Oryzias latipes: one gene and its partners. The protein of the gene in region 3 interacts with the protein of the main gene of each other region in a biochemical or structural test. Links are inferred from orthologs where the notes say so. Each region holds a gene or a part of one and is shown on either strand. Other genes may lie near its edges.

Evidence for each region.
Region 1: the proteins of hsp90ab1 (region 3) and sumo2 form a complex in vitro, tested with the Homo sapiens proteins (2 studies listed by BioGRID). The link is inferred for Oryzias latipes from reciprocal best matches to the Homo sapiens genes HSP90AB1 and SUMO2.
Region 2: the proteins of hsp90ab1 (region 3) and stip1 form a complex in vitro, tested with the Homo sapiens proteins (2 studies listed by BioGRID and IntAct, with this or other methods). The link is inferred for Oryzias latipes from reciprocal best matches to the Homo sapiens genes HSP90AB1 and STIP1.
Region 4: the proteins of hsp90ab1 (region 3) and stub1 form a complex in vitro, tested with the Homo sapiens proteins (3 studies listed by BioGRID and IntAct, with this or other methods). The link is inferred for Oryzias latipes from reciprocal best matches to the Homo sapiens genes HSP90AB1 and STUB1.

What each region holds. Positions count from the first base shown.
Region 1 is NC_019866.2:13,022,385-13,026,713, reverse strand, and holds the start of sumo2 (small ubiquitin-related modifier 2), read right to left. Parts: upstream 2,845-4,329; 5' UTR 2,827-2,844; coding exon 2,806-2,826; intron 342-2,805; coding exon 210-341; intron 1-209. Other genes in the region: nuclear pore complex protein Nup85, read left to right, coding at 3,730-3,762. UniProt on the Homo sapiens protein: Ubiquitin-like protein that can be covalently attached to proteins as a monomer or as a lysine-linked polymer.
Region 2 is NC_019872.2:19,986,870-19,991,041, forward strand, and holds the start of stip1 (stress-induced-phosphoprotein 1), read right to left. Parts: upstream 2,806-4,172; 5' UTR 2,690-2,805; coding exon 2,681-2,689; intron 95-2,680; coding exon 1-94. UniProt on the Homo sapiens protein: Acts as a co-chaperone for HSP90AA1. Mediates the association of the molecular chaperones HSPA8/HSC70 and HSP90.
Region 3 is NC_019882.2:5,881,828-5,886,165, forward strand, and holds the start of hsp90ab1 (heat shock protein HSP 90-beta), read left to right. Parts: upstream 1-1,517; coding exon 1,518-1,667; intron 1,668-1,748; coding exon 1,749-1,955; intron 1,956-2,058; coding exon 2,059-2,218; intron 2,219-2,306; coding exon 2,307-2,440; intron 2,441-2,521; coding exon 2,522-2,824; intron 2,825-2,894; coding exon 2,895-3,060; intron 3,061-3,140; coding exon 3,141-3,331; intron 3,332-3,520; coding exon 3,521-3,668; intron 3,669-3,747; coding exon 3,748-4,016; intron 4,017-4,103; exon of another isoform or gene 4,104-4,130; intron 4,131-4,338. UniProt on the Homo sapiens protein: Molecular chaperone that promotes the maturation, structural maintenance and proper regulation of specific target proteins involved for instance in cell cycle control and signal transduction. Undergoes a functional cycle linked to its ATPase activity.
Region 4 is NC_019877.2:8,954,559-8,958,903, forward strand, and holds the start of stub1 (E3 ubiquitin-protein ligase CHIP), read right to left. Parts: upstream 2,804-4,345; 5' UTR 2,533-2,803; intron 1,981-2,532; 5' UTR 1,864-1,980; coding exon 1,750-1,863; intron 1,657-1,749; coding exon 1,458-1,656; intron 1-1,457. UniProt on the Homo sapiens protein: E3 ubiquitin-protein ligase which targets misfolded chaperone substrates towards proteasomal degradation.

The DNA of each region.
Region 1 (4,329 bases), on a different chromosome or scaffold from region 3:
CTAAGCGATCATAAGTTGTTGTTTTTTTTTCCACAATACTTTTGCTTATATAGGGATATAAAAACATATTCCTTGGGTAATACAAAGTTTAAATGATCTAACTACTTTTTAACGAACCTTTACTTTTTGTATAAGCGTTGTGATTATGATAGTTTTCCTGAATCGCCACCGTTTTGTGTGTTTGTTGTCTAATAGGGGATTATACTTACCTGTCTCTCACAATATGCCTTCATAAGTTTGATGAGCGGTGTGTGTCTTTTGATCTTGAACTGCACGACAGATCCATCCTGACCTGCTACCTTTAGATTTATGTGTTCGTTATTTTCAGTCTTCACTCCTTCCTACAAAAAGAAATAAATAAATAAAGAAATAAATAAATAAATATTGTAACGGTTTAAGAAACAACAAACAGGACAGGTCATTTTAGACACAAATAACAGTGGTTCCTTGCATAACAAATACCCCACACACAAAAAACTATCTGCCTTGGATGCCTGCATGCCTCGCAAAACAAATTAACATCACGTAACGAAGCCTGTTTGCAGCGAACAATTGATTTTCTGGGGGAAAAGGCCAAATCCAGACAGTTGTGTGCCGTGTCATTCAGATGAAGACTGTTACCCTTCGGTGCAAGGCTCGGTACAGTGCTTAAAAGCCGCCAATCATCCCCATCTCCTGGTTAGGTTATTGAAAACAAACAGACTGGACGCCAGTGTGATGGCAAACCTGGGCATGTTTGTTTTTTCCTCTGTTACACAATGCAGGCCAGAGCCTCTGGTTGTGATAAATGGTACAGACCGTCCTCTGGGCAGGACCACTATGGCAACAGCAGCCAGTCGCACCAAAACTACATCGCATGTGGGATCATAATCGCCCACTTACTTGTTGGTGGCAGGTTCCCATGAAAACCACAAACACGTGTAAATAAAACCATAAAGGTGGTGCAGCAGGCATTAAGAAGATAAAGCATGTTTGCCCCCATTTGGTTTGGTTTCTTCTGGTTTTTCTTTCTTGAATATTCTTTTTTTTAATACTATTTTTCTTTAAATTTGTAGAACGGATGACATGATTTTCCAAAGTCGATGTGAAATCTGGCAATGTGTGCAACATCGCCACAAAAAAGAGGAATAATGTAGGGAAATAAAATTTCCAGCTCCATCAAAAGAGCGCCGACAGGTGAGACGGACTCTCCTTGAGTGGCCTAATATTGAGTGGAGAATAGGTCTGTTCTTTAGCTTCAACAGGTTGAAGTTTCTTAGTCACCCTGGCTGGAAGAACTTAGCCAAAGTCTGTTTCTCCTCCATTTTTGAGTATGTTCCTGAAATGACCATGACCTTCAACAAATTCACTAGTCTGTAGACTTCAGTTTGGTTGGGGTGCCACTGAATGGACGTCTTGGTCCTACTTCTTAAGTGTGTTCTTGATGGTGATGGAAGGAATTGACCTTTTGCTCTTCTCATCTTCTGAGGAGAGTCATCCCCTTCTGTTTTTCCTTAATGGGTTTGTGTCCAGGAGGTCTTTTCTCCTCCTTGGTGATGCAAGTTGGGTCACTTCTTCCAGAAGAGGCCATTTTTGCTTCAGTTGAAAAGCTGATGAGGGCTGTGGCCTTCTTCCCAAACTAACACCTGAAATTCTCCTGCAAACCTCTCAGCAGCAGCTTTGTCGGTCCTAGCTACCTCTCCGTGCAAGGCCACTCAAACAGCCTTGGATTCTTCTTCTTCTGTTTTAGCTCCTTCTGCATTTGTACTTCTTTATTTCTTCATACCCTGACTTTCTCGCAGATGAGCTCTGCCTCCGTCTGCCTCTCATCTTCATCTCTGAATAGTTTTCTGACCTCGTTGCTGTTCCCCCGTGGTCATACAGTTCGGCAGGACGCACCTTGAACGTCAGGTGCAGCTCGATGGTTTCTTTCTTTGTTTCAATGCTCAGAGCTTTTCTGACCATTAACACACCTATTGATAGGAACCATTTTTCTTGGGGTTCAACATTCAAAATTTAGAGACTAAGAAAAAAAATTAAGAAGACCTGTCCTCCAATTAAGAAGACCTTTAACTTAAGGAAACACGATCCAAGACACACAACAAGTCACACCTATGTACCTGGATTTAACCATTCTGTTGTACCAGAAAAAAGTTAATTTAATTTATTTATTTACAAAAAAGGTTCGTTTTGTGAGGCAAGTGGGTTGCAATGTTTATCATGCAGATTGTTTGTTCTATAGTTCTTTATGTTTGTCAGAGTGGAAAAATAAAAAGATAAAATACCAGAATTACCAGGGATAGAAACATAATTGTAGGCCGTATGAAAAACAGATGCTAAAAAACACGTATTCATTGTTAAATATTAGTTTCAAGTATTTGAATATTTTATTTTTGGTATCCAGTTGTTATAACCCGTTTTCTTCAACGAGTCAAGCCAAAGTGTTGCAGACTGACTAGAACAGTTTAGTCTAGAGACTAAATACAAACAGTTCGTTTTCTTGTTTATTTTTTCCATTCTGGTGCGTCATTACAAAACACAGACAACTTAATTACCACACAAACACAACGCAAGAAAACCGCAAGATTTATAGAGAACGACACCAGCTGGTTGGCGGGATGTAATCAGCCTAAAAGCGACGTGCGCGCCAGTCCATGCGCGCTCACATACCTTCCGGTCCATCAAAGTAGGTACAGTTGAATCTTATCACTTAACTTTTTTATTTAAAAAAATACGAACAGCACACGCGGGAATGTAAATTCACCTTTAAGATCGGCGATCCAGTTAATTTGTAATAGCATCGTAATTGACAATGGGGTCACTTACCTTTGGTTTTTCATCAGCCATCGTCACTCTTTTGGCGCTTCTCTATGCTACCACACAAAGAATATGAGTGCGCGCACGTACTCGTTCCCGTTTAAATTATTCGGGGAAACGTGCGCGGGCATGTGTCAATGCGCGTTCACTGAACAAGGATTTAATTGGCCGCATGAAGTCACGTGGACTAAAGCGCAGTCTAGTTATGGGCGGGAGACTACCGCCTGCGCGTTACAGAGATACTCGGCTTCACATGCACGCGCACGGCAGAATTTTTCCCTTTTGTTTTTGGTTTAGGTCTATTATATACGAAGGAAATCTGTTCATCGTCACGCCGAAGACTAGTATCAGTGCTGCACGTTTCATAAAGCGCCCATATGATCGGTATTAGATGTACAGCGTGATATATTAGTACTCTCCTTATTTTAACCCCTCATTATAGCCCAGTGGCCATCTTGGTTTTTCTTTCTTTTTTTGTTACAATAAAAAACAGGCACCGACTAAACGACAACATTTACCGATATGGCGATATATTTTCTAAGATAGCTAACTTATATAACGTTTTAATGTATATTAACAATATGATACGATTGTATCTTCCTGATTCTGAGAATATGTTACACGTTTTCGGAATAAAATTACTTCGACTTTTAAATGTATATCGATTCTAAAGATAGTGTTATTTGCTTCAGTCATGTCAGTTTTCTTGACGTAGATTAAAAGTAAAAGAAAGTACTGTACTTGCAAATTTAAAAAAACAAAAAACAAAACAGGCATTAAGTAGGACAGTCCTACATTTGACGCATGCGCGAGATAGTCGTAGAAAAAGAGAGGCGCGCAAGCGTTGCTATATTATAGCACGTGTTAAATGGCATGATTAAGGTGAAAAAGTTCATAGTTTGAAATTTAAAAGGATCTAAAAAGTTTCATCCGATGGAGGAGGTAGACGTTGAACCGACGATAACCGTAAGTCTTTCGTACTATGTAGTTTATTGTTATGCGCTATCGAATAGCAGCTAACAAGTTAGCTAAGCATTTTGAATTTTGTAAATCCTAAAATTCGGAATAAAAAAATACACTAGTAGTTAATGATACAAACACAAAAGTTTATGATGAAATGTTACGGACCGACATTACGAGTTGGAGGTTTCGTAGCTAAAACAATGTCACAGTTGACATGTTCTTGGATATAAAGAAACAAACTTGGAACAATGGTTAGAAAATCAAAATGTAACGTTATTTTTGTCTTCTACGTTTTGTTAAGTTATTTTGTGCTTTGTCAAACAAAGAAAGGTAAGTCTTTTCCTGGACATTTTTGAGTCCAGTCTCTGTCTTAATGTCAAGGTAAATAAATATCCTGTTGCATGTGTCCAATGGATTAAAACTAAGAAAGGCAAAAGAAAACCATAAGAGTGTTGGTTGTAACATTGCAACTAATAGGCAATAAATCGAATGTTGTTTGAAAGCCAGGACATTTTAAAATGATTTTATTTTATTTAAGCTTTGTTTAATAGGGACAGTGCACATTAATGA
Region 2 (4,172 bases), on a different chromosome or scaffold from region 3:
GGTCGAGAGCCAAGGCCTCCGTGTAGCAACGCACAGCTTCATCGATATTCCCTGCACTCAGGGCTTTGTTGCCCTGCTCCTTCAATGCTGAAATCTAGAAAAACATCAAAACCCAACATGCTTATTAGCACCAGATCAAAGTTTGCATACAAAAAATGCCATATAGAGGAGCTGAAAAACAGCCTAAGAACTGATCATGAAAAAACAAACAATAAGACCACAATGAATGGAGAATTTCTCCTTCATCTGTACAGACGAAATTTATCCACACCATAAAGAGAAACTCCAGAAACAGTTTAAACATCCATAACAGGGGCAAATGAGAGTAAAAGAGGCACAAATAAACAAAATTGCCCACTTAAAAATGTAAAAAAGCTATGAACATTGACGTTTGTGATGAGGGTATATTCAGTCTCCTAAGCATTGGGTTGCCTTGCCTTAAGGAGCAGATTAACCTGCTCTCTTAGTAATGCATTTCAGATTAAGGAAAGGCTTTTGGAAAAATATTAAATGTGAAACCAAGTCCAATTGACTGCTTTTTTATCAACCTACTTCTTTGATAGTTATACAAAAGGTTGTTCTCGTCACCAGAAGATACTACGTTTGAATGAAAATGTAAAAAAAATAACAACATTAAATCGATACTTTGTGAGATATAATGATTCCTGGTCCAACACATTAAGCTTGTAATGTAAAAGAAGTTTGCATTCCTCCACACACTGCACTTAATCCAATAAAACCCAATTGGGTAACTTGTGTCTTTTCTTTCGTTTCTGTTATCAGAGTTAAAATTGAAAAAACACATAAAGCTTCACACCAGCTCGCAGTCGAAGCTGTTCCCAACACCTTTGATAATAAATTAAACATTTGAAAAAATGGCCAGATTTTGCTTTAATTTCTAAATGGACTCAAAGATCTGTTCATAAACTAAATTTCATTACTTCAGACTGAAGTGAGAAGTCTGTCCAAAGAAACAATACATTTAATAAACGGCACAAATAGAGATGAGTAAATTCAAACTTTGGTAATTCATCGCACTGAAAAGGAAGAGAACATATCACTTGCAATGGTCCATTTCCATCTTTTCTAAAGTAAAGAGTACAGTCAGTTGTCATGCAGGTGTGATGGCTCTATGAAATTCATTCTTGTCAAAAAAAAGAAGAAGAAAAAAAAAACAAATTTTCACAACTTTACACTATTCTTCAGACCAAGTTCAATATAAGAGCTTTAAAATACAATTAGAACAGATTTGAAAACTTCTTTTTAGTCTATTTAATGAAAGTAGTGGATGTTGAAAACGTCAAATATGACTTTTTCAATGGGGGGTCATCCAAGAAGAGAAAGAAGTATTTTCTGAGCAGGTCAACTAAAATGAGTATGTCCCCAAGTTTTGTGAATAAACAACCAATGTTTGTGCCTGTTTGTCTCCTTTGATCAAATTTCACATTTAAAGTTTATGATCATTAATTTATCAATGCAATCTTTATAAGATGAAATTGAGAGGACTCATATTTCTATATTTGTGGGTTGATAACAAAAGTTTAAATACAGCTTAAGACCCATTACATCACATGTAATTACCTTTTGTAAAGTATTAATTACACGTGTGAATTCAAAGCTTACTGTTAAAAGACCCTTTAGGATTTAAATCATTTTCAGTTTTACAGACTAATTAAGTCACAACATGTAATTACAGCCAGATCACCACAGATTAGGGGATTAACATTAGTTGATCCCATGAACAACAAACGCTGGATATTAAGAAAATATAATTTTTACATGATTAGCATACATATACATATAGTTGCTAACGCTGTTGCCAGTAAATATTATTGCAATATTTATCACTAAATATTTGCGACAGGTTTGGAGAAAACGAGACTTTAAATTTTTTTTAGAGAGACGTTCAAATTGGGACCAAAATACTACAATTTAAAAACCGGAAAAATGCGCGACAATTTCCGACGACATGCGGCTGTAGCCATGGCAGCAGCGACCTGTGCATCTAGAATGATCCTCCGGTGTGAGAGCAGGCTACTTAAACATATACAGCCGATCGAAAAGTACTTAAGCGCTGTGTGCCACACTAGAACGAGAGCATATAAACTAGCAATCTCTAATACATACAAAAATATACAACTAGTTGCATTATGAACGTAATTTAAATCGTTATTTCGTACTTGCAATGTCAAAGATTTGCGAACTAGTCTGAAGCTACGAGGGTTAAGGATAAGCATGGGCAAAGACAGAAAAGAAATGAACCAATATGTATATACATTTTTTTTATAAATCAAACACGTTTAGTTCAAATTAGTGGAGTTTCAGTAGAATTTTCGTATCATGGCTAATTAGCTTAACTGGACACACATGCGTTGTTACCTGGAAATATCGCAAGACTATTTGGACTTTAACATAAAATGAAAATGTTTTACGGAAAACTCAAAGCTCAGCTACACCTTCCATTCTAAGTGACCACATTGAATGACGGTTAGCTAACATTAAGCTAGCTCGATGCATTAGCAAAGTGAATCTCTTCAAGCTAAGGATTAAAACTAAGACAATTTTTTTAACTACGATTTTTAAGAAAACTCGTTTCATCTCAACATTGCACAATTCTTTAAAAACCCATTTTAAATGTTTGTTTTGAAAGAAGAAGAAAATGCGATTACACGAGACTTACTTTCTCCATGATACAAGCATGAGGTACGTTCCAGAAACTACTGCGGACTAGCGCCTCCCCCTGAACACGTGCGGGTTGCCAGATTGTTGTAGAAGATCCGCAAACAGCGACGAACTCGCGTGGAGCCTCTGACGAGCAATATATAGCCTCCTGACTGAAACTTCCAGAAGATGAATTGGGAAAAAAACTCTCAAAACCCAGCCCTTGAAGTTTTACTCTCCTCTATGCCTAATGTAAAAGCTCAAATTGAAGATACAAGCGCATTCACTTACAAGAGTAAGAACAGAAGTCTGAAAAAAGGTTAAATTAAGCGTTTATATTTTGAGCAACACCAGCATCCACGTAACTATAATATTGAAGAGAAACTCATACTTTTAAATGTCATCACATATTTAAGGGTGTTGACAAGGTTAACATTTTTAAAATTTAAAACATACATGTTTAAATACAATAAATATTCATCAGTTTTACTTTGCTAATATTTTAACATTAATACGGAAATTTCCTTTGTATAAACAAAAATGCATTGTAGTGCTTTTTGGTCACTTTGGTAAAATATTGTGTAACATCAATACGTTATTTTCTAATGAATCACTAGAAAAAAACATTTAGGTAAAAAATATTTTCTTGAACAAAATATGTGTCAAACATTGTCACATTAAATTAAAAAAATGAATGAAACATAAATAAAAATCCAATAGAGGTTTTTTTAGCATTCATTTATTAGAATAAAACTCAAACAAAGGACAACATGATATAAATTTAGTATAATGGAACAGAATGGAGTAGAACCTTACTGAATAAATTAATATTTTAGTGTAACAAATTCACAAGTATCCAAGGTGAAGAAGAAAAAACAATGAACAAACAAATAAAATATAATAAATTGATTACAGAAAAGGGGTTTATTTAACACTCTTTGCCACCAAAAGAAACGTACCAAATAGAGGATGTAACACGTGGTATTGTATTTCACAAAAAAGGCAAATTGTAATGTGAATAGAGTGTGAAAAGGTTACATGTGGCTTGATCACCCAAATCTTTTTTTTCTTCTCACACATTGTAGGATAAATAGTGATGTATTGACAAGTATTGTAGATAGATGGACAGTTTCTTCAACTGATAACATGCAGGTGGTGTAAGAGGTGGTTCAGTCTGTGTTATTGGGGTATTATTAACTGGTGTATTCAGTAATACAAGCGATACTAACCATATCATTTATGCAAACGAGCAACTCAGATCGACAGATAATGAATTTGGTAAAAGCTCGATAACACAAACGAGCCAGTAATGAGCGCGTGCGCGCTCCCGCGTGAGGGGTTGAGGTCTCGTGAGGTTAGCACTGTAACACGTTCTGGTTAAACGGGGATTGCTCTGTCCACCCACAACGGTCAGAATTTATTTATCTCGAGCTAACTTGAATTTTCATCGATTAATATTTTTATTTATTTAAAAAATGATCATAGAAAGTAAAAAAAAAGAACAGTTAGTT
Region 3 (4,338 bases):
TGTGACAACTCGGTGACGTCATGTTTAGGCGGGTTTTTCATGGAAAGTGCTAGAAGAAACGAAGCACTCCCCTTCGGTATTCTTCCATGTGATTACAAAGACCTAGAGTGTTCGTTGATTCCGTAAAAAATACAGCGTGCTTTTAATTTTTGACATCCAGATATAGAGATTCTATACAAATACTTTTTTTTTTCAACAAAATTTTGACACATTTTTAGAATTTAGACAATTACTAAACGGAAGCTCGTAGATGTAGTTTTTGCTGTATCTTAAATAACCGCTAGATGGCAGCAAAAATCAAATACGATTGATTTTATTCTTAGTTTTGTTTTTAATATAATAAATTTATAACGTTTAGATTTTACCTCCTTGGCCAATCAAAATATTGTGCATGCTATTCCACTATAACTTTTTATCTGTTGATATAAATAATTACATATTTTTCTGGAGGAGCACAGTTAGTTCGAGAAGGAGCGCCGCGGAGGGATCTTGTCCTGCACTGAAACTCATGAGCATATAGATTCGGCGTGCAGCTCCAGAATCCTCCTTTCTTTTTCCTGCGTCAGTGAGCGGCAGGGATAGCACTTTTGTTGCATTTTATTCAAGAAAAGCCAACATAAGAAACAAGGTATGTCTTGGTAATTCACTTCATATTGAGGGAAACCAAACTTTAAATGGTTTATTATTATTCTACACCGAATGTTGAGTCATTTAACGGGTTTTTTTGTTATTTGATTTCGATTCACGTGGTTTGTTTAACCTTGATTCATCGATTAAAAGCATTTCTGACATAGCGGGTTTACTATTCTTAATTAGTAATGGGCTTTAGGTTAAATCTTGTACTAGTGACCGAAAATAAGTGGTGGGCTTTTGCCGCATCTTGTAGGCAGACAGAAGGTATGGAGATTTATTATTGTGAAGGTTGGTTGTACCTGACTGTTTAAAGAATAACATTACCATAGTTTAACGAGCGATTGACGTGTCTTTGTGTATATTTTGCCAACGAAGGATTCTAGATGGACTACTAGTTTAGAATCTTACACCCAGAGTGTGTACATCATGTACATCTTGCATAACCGACACAGGAGTGCTCGTGGTTTTTCGGGGTGATGGTAGTTTTGGGGGCTATTTTTTTGCAGTAAAGCTCCTGAGCGATAATCCAAAATCGTTCGATCTTGATATTCACGGAAGCTTCGGGTTTTTTCGGTTTTAGTCGGCACGTGCTTGCAGCGTCCATTGTCCATGCCTCGCCGCCATGTTTCGCTGCACTTCCGCCCGTATGTTGTAATCTGATGGCAGGGATCCGACTCTGAACCGGTTTCTGAATTGTGGTAGTTTATGGTTTAAAATTATTCATTAAAAAAAATTAAACTAAAAACTACAATCTTAGTAAAATAATTGGCAGTTTATTACCGTATTTTGCGTATTTGTAAGATGTTGTGCTTTTATTTTGGCGTTTCCTGTTGGTTCATCCCATTATTAGTCTGACGCTGTTTGTTGCAAACCTGTTATTTCTTATGCAGATGCCTGAAGAAATGCACCAAGAGGAGGAGGCTGAGACCTTTGCCTTCCAGGCAGAGATTGCTCAGCTGATGTCCCTGATCATCAACACCTTTTATTCCAACAAAGAGATCTTCCTCAGGGAGCTGATCTCCAATGCCTCTGATGTAAGTCTGCAGCAGTTTACGTAACATCGTATCACCTCTGTGTCAATACAGTGAAATATCTTGACGCTGAATTATTTTTAGGCTCTGGACAAAATCCGCTATGAAAGCTTAACTGATCCCTCCAAGCTGGACAGCGGCAAGGATCTGAAAATCGACATCATCCCCAACAAGGCTGACCGCACCTTGACCATTGTTGACACTGGAATTGGCATGACCAAGGCTGACCTTATCAACAACCTGGGTACCATTGCAAAGTCTGGGACAAAGGCTTTCATGGAAGCCCTTCAGGTATTAATATAAACAGGCATAAAGGGGAAAAATACATATACACATTTATATATTTTTTTAGCAGAAGTGAATACAAATTGTGGAACTTTGCCGTTTTCTTCAGGCTGGAGCCGACATCTCCATGATTGGTCAGTTCGGTGTGGGATTTTACTCTGCCTACCTCGTCGCTGAGAGGGTGGTGGTTATCACCAAGCACAACGACGATGAACAGTACGCCTGGGAGTCCTCTGCTGGGGGATCCTTTACCGTCAAGGTCGACAGTGGTATGGATCTTCAAATATTATAATTATGGTGCAACAAACTAAAATCTGACTGTGAAACATTTGTTAACCTCTACAACACTGTTCTCAGGCGAGCCCATTGGCCGTGGAACAAAGATCATCCTGCACCTTAAAGAAGACCAAACGGAGTACATTGAGGAGAAGAGGGTCAAAGAGATCGTGAAGAAGCATTCTCAGTTCATCGGCTACCCCATCACCCTCTTTGTAAGTGATTTGTTTGTTTTTTTACAAACATATTTCTCACTAATAGAAGCTTATGTGGAGTTGTACGTGGTTTATCTATAGGTGGAGAAAGAACGTGACAAGGAGATCAGTGATGATGAGGCAGAGGAGGAAAAAGAAGAGAAGGAGACCAAGGAGGAAGGTGAGGACAAGCCAAAGATTGAGGATGTGGGCTCAGATGATGAAGAAGACGCTAAAGACAAGGGCAAGAAGAAGAAGAAGATCAAGGAGAAGTACATTGACCAGGAAGAGCTGAATAAGACCAAGCCCATCTGGACCAGAAACCCTGATGACATCACGAGTGAGGAGTACGGCGAGTTCTACAAGAGCCTCACAAACGACTGGGAGGATCACCTCGCTGTGAAGGTAAAATAGAGGTTTGGGTGTCTTCTGATCGGCTGATGGAACCTCGTGCTGACGTGTGTTTCTCTTTTAGCACTTTTCAGTGGAAGGTCAGCTGGAATTCAGGGCTCTGCTCTTTGTTCCTCGTCGTGCACCTTTTGACCTCTTTGAGAACAAGAAGAAGAAGAACAACATCAAGCTGTACGTCAGGAGAGTCTTCATCATGGACAACTGTGAAGAGCTCATCCCAGAGTACCTGAGTAAGTTTTAAATCTCTGTTCCACCGGATCTGAAAGGAAATGCACAGCAGCTTTAAAACGTTTTTGTTTGTTTACAACAGACTTCATCCGTGGAGTGGTGGACTCTGAAGACCTGCCCCTCAACATTTCAAGAGAAATGCTGCAGCAGAGCAAGATCTTGAAAGTAATCCGCAAAAACATTGTCAAGAAGTGCCTGGAGCTGTTCGGAGAGCTGGCAGAAGACAAAGAAAACTACAAGAAATTCTATGAAGGTTTCTCAAAGAACATCAAGGTATCTCAAACATATCTGAAGCTTTTCTAAATGATGCCTATAAACTGATGGATTTTTTTTTTCCTGTAAACTTTTAAGGTGTGAAAATAAATCGACACATATTTAGCGTGAAGCCTTGGAATTGGGCAACGCTTGCTGCATTACCCAGAATTTAGTTGAGTAAATCGATCACAACTTTTATGTTCACAGCTCGGCATCCATGAGGATTCTCAGAACCGTAAGAAGCTGTCTGAGCTGCTGCGCTACCACAGCTCCCAGTCTGGAGATGAAATGACTTCCCTCACAGAGTACCTTTCTCGCATGAAGGAGAACCAGAAATCCATTTACTACATCACTGGTAGGTTTGGCTTCCAGTCCATATGTTCTTTTGTTGATTCTTTTGGCACGACTTAAGTTTTTGTTTTTTGCCTCTGAAGGTGAAAGCAAGGACCAGGTTGCCAACTCTGCTTTCGTGGAGCGCGTCCGCAAGCGTGGCTTCGAGGTCCTGTACATGACCGAGCCCATCGACGAGTACTGTGTTCAGCAGCTGAAGGAGTTTGATGGCAAGAACCTGGTTTCTGTCACCAAAGAGGGCTTGGAGCTGCCAGAGGATGAGGAGGAAAAGAAGAAGATGGAGGATGACAAGGCCAAGTTTGAGAACCTCTGCAAGCTCATGAAAGAGATTCTGGACAAGAAAGTAGAGAAGGTTGGTCTCAAATAAGAAACTGTGCTTTTGCTCCTCATTTCTTCACCATCATTTCCTTAACTTCAGTGGTGTTTTGTTTGGAAACAGGTTTCCTAGTGGTAACTACTTATATTGGTGAGTTCATACAGAGTAGAAGTGGCCTGTAGAGTTTCTAGCGTTGCCTGATATTTGAGTTGAAAGGGTTTGGTTTTGCAAGAGCCTGATAAGTCTGACAGCGACGTGAGTTCTAACAATGTTTGTCTTTTGAGGCTGTGTCTAACACTCGATGAAATCAGCATCACACAAACGGCCTGAACCGCATGCGTGTATTGCATTCCAGTGG
Region 4 (4,345 bases), on a different chromosome or scaffold from region 3:
AACAATAGGATTCACTTTAGACAGAGATCATCTGCCCATTTTTTAACACTTGACACGGCACAGAGACAAACAAGACCAATGTAAGAATTGTATGTTTGCAGGCGTGTGTAACAGCGTAGTGAGACAATAAACATGTAATTCTGCTCTTAATCACTACAAAAGTTATCTGTGCTGAATCCAAACCCAAAACTGCAGCAAGACAAATAAATCACAATATGATCAAAACCCAAGCACGCACGCACACACACACACACACACAAACATACATTTATACACACAAATTAAATGGTAAACGGCATATAATTGATTGAAATATGTCGAGCATTGATTTATTGTAACGTTGAAGATAATTAATCTAAATAATAGAATGTGTCAGAATATTAGCTTTTATCATCAAAATAATAGAAAAAGATGTTTACAACCTAAATGTTCAAATGCCTTCATTTCTATCACTTAGCTTGGTTAGGGCTCCTCTATGTGAATCACTGCATCAATGCACTGAGGATATGAAGCGTGTGGCTCTATGTAGAAGTAATGGAGGTTTCTATGTGCTGCCTTCACATTATCTGCATTATTGAGTCTGGTGTCTCATCTTCCTCCAAACAAGAGACAATAGATTCATAATAGGGTTCAGGTCAGGGGAATGTGCTATCAGCCACAGTAATACTATTAATTGAACCAGCTTTTGGTTCTTTTGGCAGAGTGGGCGGGCCCCATGTCCTGCAGGAAAATTGAATCTGCAGCTCCAATGAGCTCAACACCAAAAGGCAGCATGAAGTGCTACAGAACTTTGTGTAGACTTCAAAAAAACATGGACCTACATCATCCCTGACTGTGGAAGCTTCACAAGACCCTTCAGGCAACATCGGGTCTGTGCGTCTCCAAATGAAATACAACCTTTACTTTTGGACCACTAAGCATCTGTCTGGTTCTTTTCTAATGAGCCCAGGTAAAAAACAAAAAACAAAAAAAAACGTCTAACTCTGATGATGGTGAAATAAATCAGAATTTTGCATGGATTTTCTCTGTTGAAAGTCTTTTTTCTTTCCACTCTATTTTCTGTTAATATGCTTGGACAGATTAACTACCATGATTGCATATGGACTTACATTTGTCTGATACATTTGAAGGTTCAGGAAACCTTTGCAAAAATAATCCGTTACAGTTTTTGATACTTTTTATTTTGTCATTTTCTTCTTAATGTACCTAAAGTTGATGAAATGCTCTGGTTTTAAGGTAAATGCATTGATTTGTAACTGCTGGTGCCTTTAAGAACATGTGCAAGTTTGATTTTCTCATCCCCACAGAAAATTCTTTTTTGTTAGAATCCCACAATAAAAGCACAAGTGAACTGATCCATCTTCAACACCTAAAGGTTGTGATCCTTTGTTCTGGTGTTATGATTAAGAAAACCCGACACGAACGGCTAGGAGAGAAAAATCAAACTAGTTTCTGACCTTTTTGCAAATTGCCGATTGCCTCATCGTAGTTCTCCAGCTCCAGGTGACACTGGCCCAGGAAGAAGTGGGCTTTAACAGACTGACTATCCAGCTCCAGTGCATGCTTACAATCTGTCAGAGCCTTGTCATACTGCTGCAGCTTCACGTGGCAGAGGGCCCTGTTGGTGTAGTATACTGCCACTGATGGATTGCGGTTCTGGAAGACACAATGGGGAAAATAAAGAGTATTTACGCGCAAACTGTTTAGTCTTCGCCATTAGTGTTTGGATGAGAAATCCCAGACGCTTACAATAGCTTTACTATAGCAAGAGGCAGCATCCTGGTACTTGCGGCAGAGGAAAAGCCGGTTCCCCTGCTCCTTGAACTCCTGCGCGGTGGAACTCTTCTCCGGGCTGCCGGCCATCTTCTCCACCGGCTCCGCGGGGCCCGCTTCGCCCTGTTTCCCTATCCTGTTCCCCGTCTCTTCGGCTGGCTAGACAACAGGTTTTCAGAACGTCCCGTCCGGCTTGGATCTCACACACTAAAACACAGGCGCGTGCTGAGTTAGCGATGCACCTGCAATGCGCTGCTTCTTCAACGATCTCTCGGCGCAACGCTGCTGCTTGGTGCCGCTCAGAATGCATTCATTCGGGTTTGCTGACAGTGCACGCCGCTGAAAATCACAGCTAGACTGCCGGCGAATTAACTATTCACATTCGGAAATCGATGGCCATCAGCGAGCACAGCTATTTAAAAAAAATCCAGAACCATTAATTTACACATCCACTCAGGTTTCGAGTAAAAACACCAGATACAAGATAATATATTTAAGTTAACGAAAAATTGTATATTATTGTTACACGACAAGAAACACAAAAATAAGATTGCTAACTTACAAACAAACAGAGGAGGAGAATCGATGCTATGCTAAAATTAGCTAAGCTTTTATCTTGAAATTATTTTGTTTGGGGACATAGTACAGCTTTTGTGTCTCTAATCAATTTTATTGACATTTAATTTAGGGTAGATTCTGGTGAATTGAAGCAGAGGATAGTAAAACCATAACTACTTGTTCAAGGATTTCAATATTTACCACAACGCAGCTCGGTTTCTTCAAAAAACATAAACTAGCTAGTGCTAGCTTAGCCTTTTTGCATTACAGTTGCTTCACGTCCGTTTCAGTTTGTTGGAGGCTTAAATAAAGTTTTACATAGTACCCACCCTTACCTTTAATCAGAAATTTTACATTCAGCTCAAACAGATTTAATTTAGTTTGATATAAAATCGTTACGGATTATTTTTACCACCCGTACGAACTGTCAAGACGGAATGTTGTGGTGCTGACGTCAAACGCTTTACGCTCTAACAACGGAAGCCGAGAGCACACGAATCCTGATGGGAGTTTGCGCAGAGGTTATCTTCAAGTATCATAACAATGTAAAGTTTCTGTGCTCATTTCTGTAAAAGTACTGTGGGAACAAACCCTCATCTGTATTGGGACTGCTCTCATAATTTGGCTTTATAGAATGCCAGCCCTTTATCTTTAATCCTAAATTAATCATAGAGGGTCATTGGAGCTGTGAGAAGAGCATGCAAACAACGTGAAACAGGGGCCTTCTATATGTGAGAAGACCCTGGTATCAGTGCTAGTGGTTAGAACTAACATAGCTGACTACTGATACAAGTAACCACACCTTATCTCTGAGTGATGGTTAGTTGTATAGAAAATAGGTACTGACCTTACATTACGTTAGACAAAATACTATAACAACACCCTATCAAATAAAAGTGTTTGTTTATATCTGATTCGAAATTATTAGTAAAATAATTGATATTAATGGAAATAATTTATTATTATTATTTTGTCTTCCTTAAACTTCTGTTATTGCACTAATCCAAAAGCATTGAAGATGATAAATCTGTTCTATTTGATTTGGTGCTTTTTATGTCTTTACTCATTTTTCACTTTTTATATTAGCTTGATGCCAAATTTTAACATGAGACTTTGCTTATGTTAAGAGAAGCATAAAAATTCATTTTTTTTCTGTATCGCTTTGTCCCTTTCGGGGTCACGGGGCTGCCGGAGCCTATCTCGGCTACTTTGGCGTAGGCAGGGGATGCCCTGGACAGGTCGCCAGTCTGTCCAGGGCAGACTGCGTTTTTTATGCTTTTATGCTGCTGTAAGCATAAAAATGTAATTGAAAAAAAAAAACGTATATATTTTTTAACATTCAGAAAAGTATTTTTTTCTCAAATATGGTTTGAAAATGAAATGAAGCCACACCTAAATATTTCCTGTTATTTTTATGCATCTTTACAATCACTCATTTAAATCTGAATAAGCAAAAATATGAGAGCAAGAAATGGAAAGATGGGTTTACCTGAGGTTGTTTGAGACGTTTATACAAATCTGAAATGTGTAAAGAGGAGTTATTTTAAAAAATATGATCAGAAATATTTGCATTTTTTGCAGTTGAACTACCAATTTTACACACCAAGATACAGAAAAAGACAACTGGGTGGTTTCTCATTGCACTTGTAAAAGATCAGCACAGGAAATCTAGTGTATTGGCCAGAAGATGGCATCATCGGGCTACTCGTTTTTTTAAATGTGAGTCAAATCTTTAATGTAATCTGTTATTAAGTAGTTTAGTACAATATTATGAATTACCATTGCATCACTGTGTTATGTAGTGACTCTAATAAAGATATGTGCCAAATAAAGATGTGTGCCAAAATAAATTTGATGATACATTTATACTTATTCTGGATTCAGTTGACAAATGTAAACATTTTTAAATCATCAAAGGGATTTTTCAGCAACGGTTATAATATTAAAAACATTTTTTATGAATCAGTTTTCTTGAGACATCCAACTCACAAAGAAACTGCAGATAACATTTTGG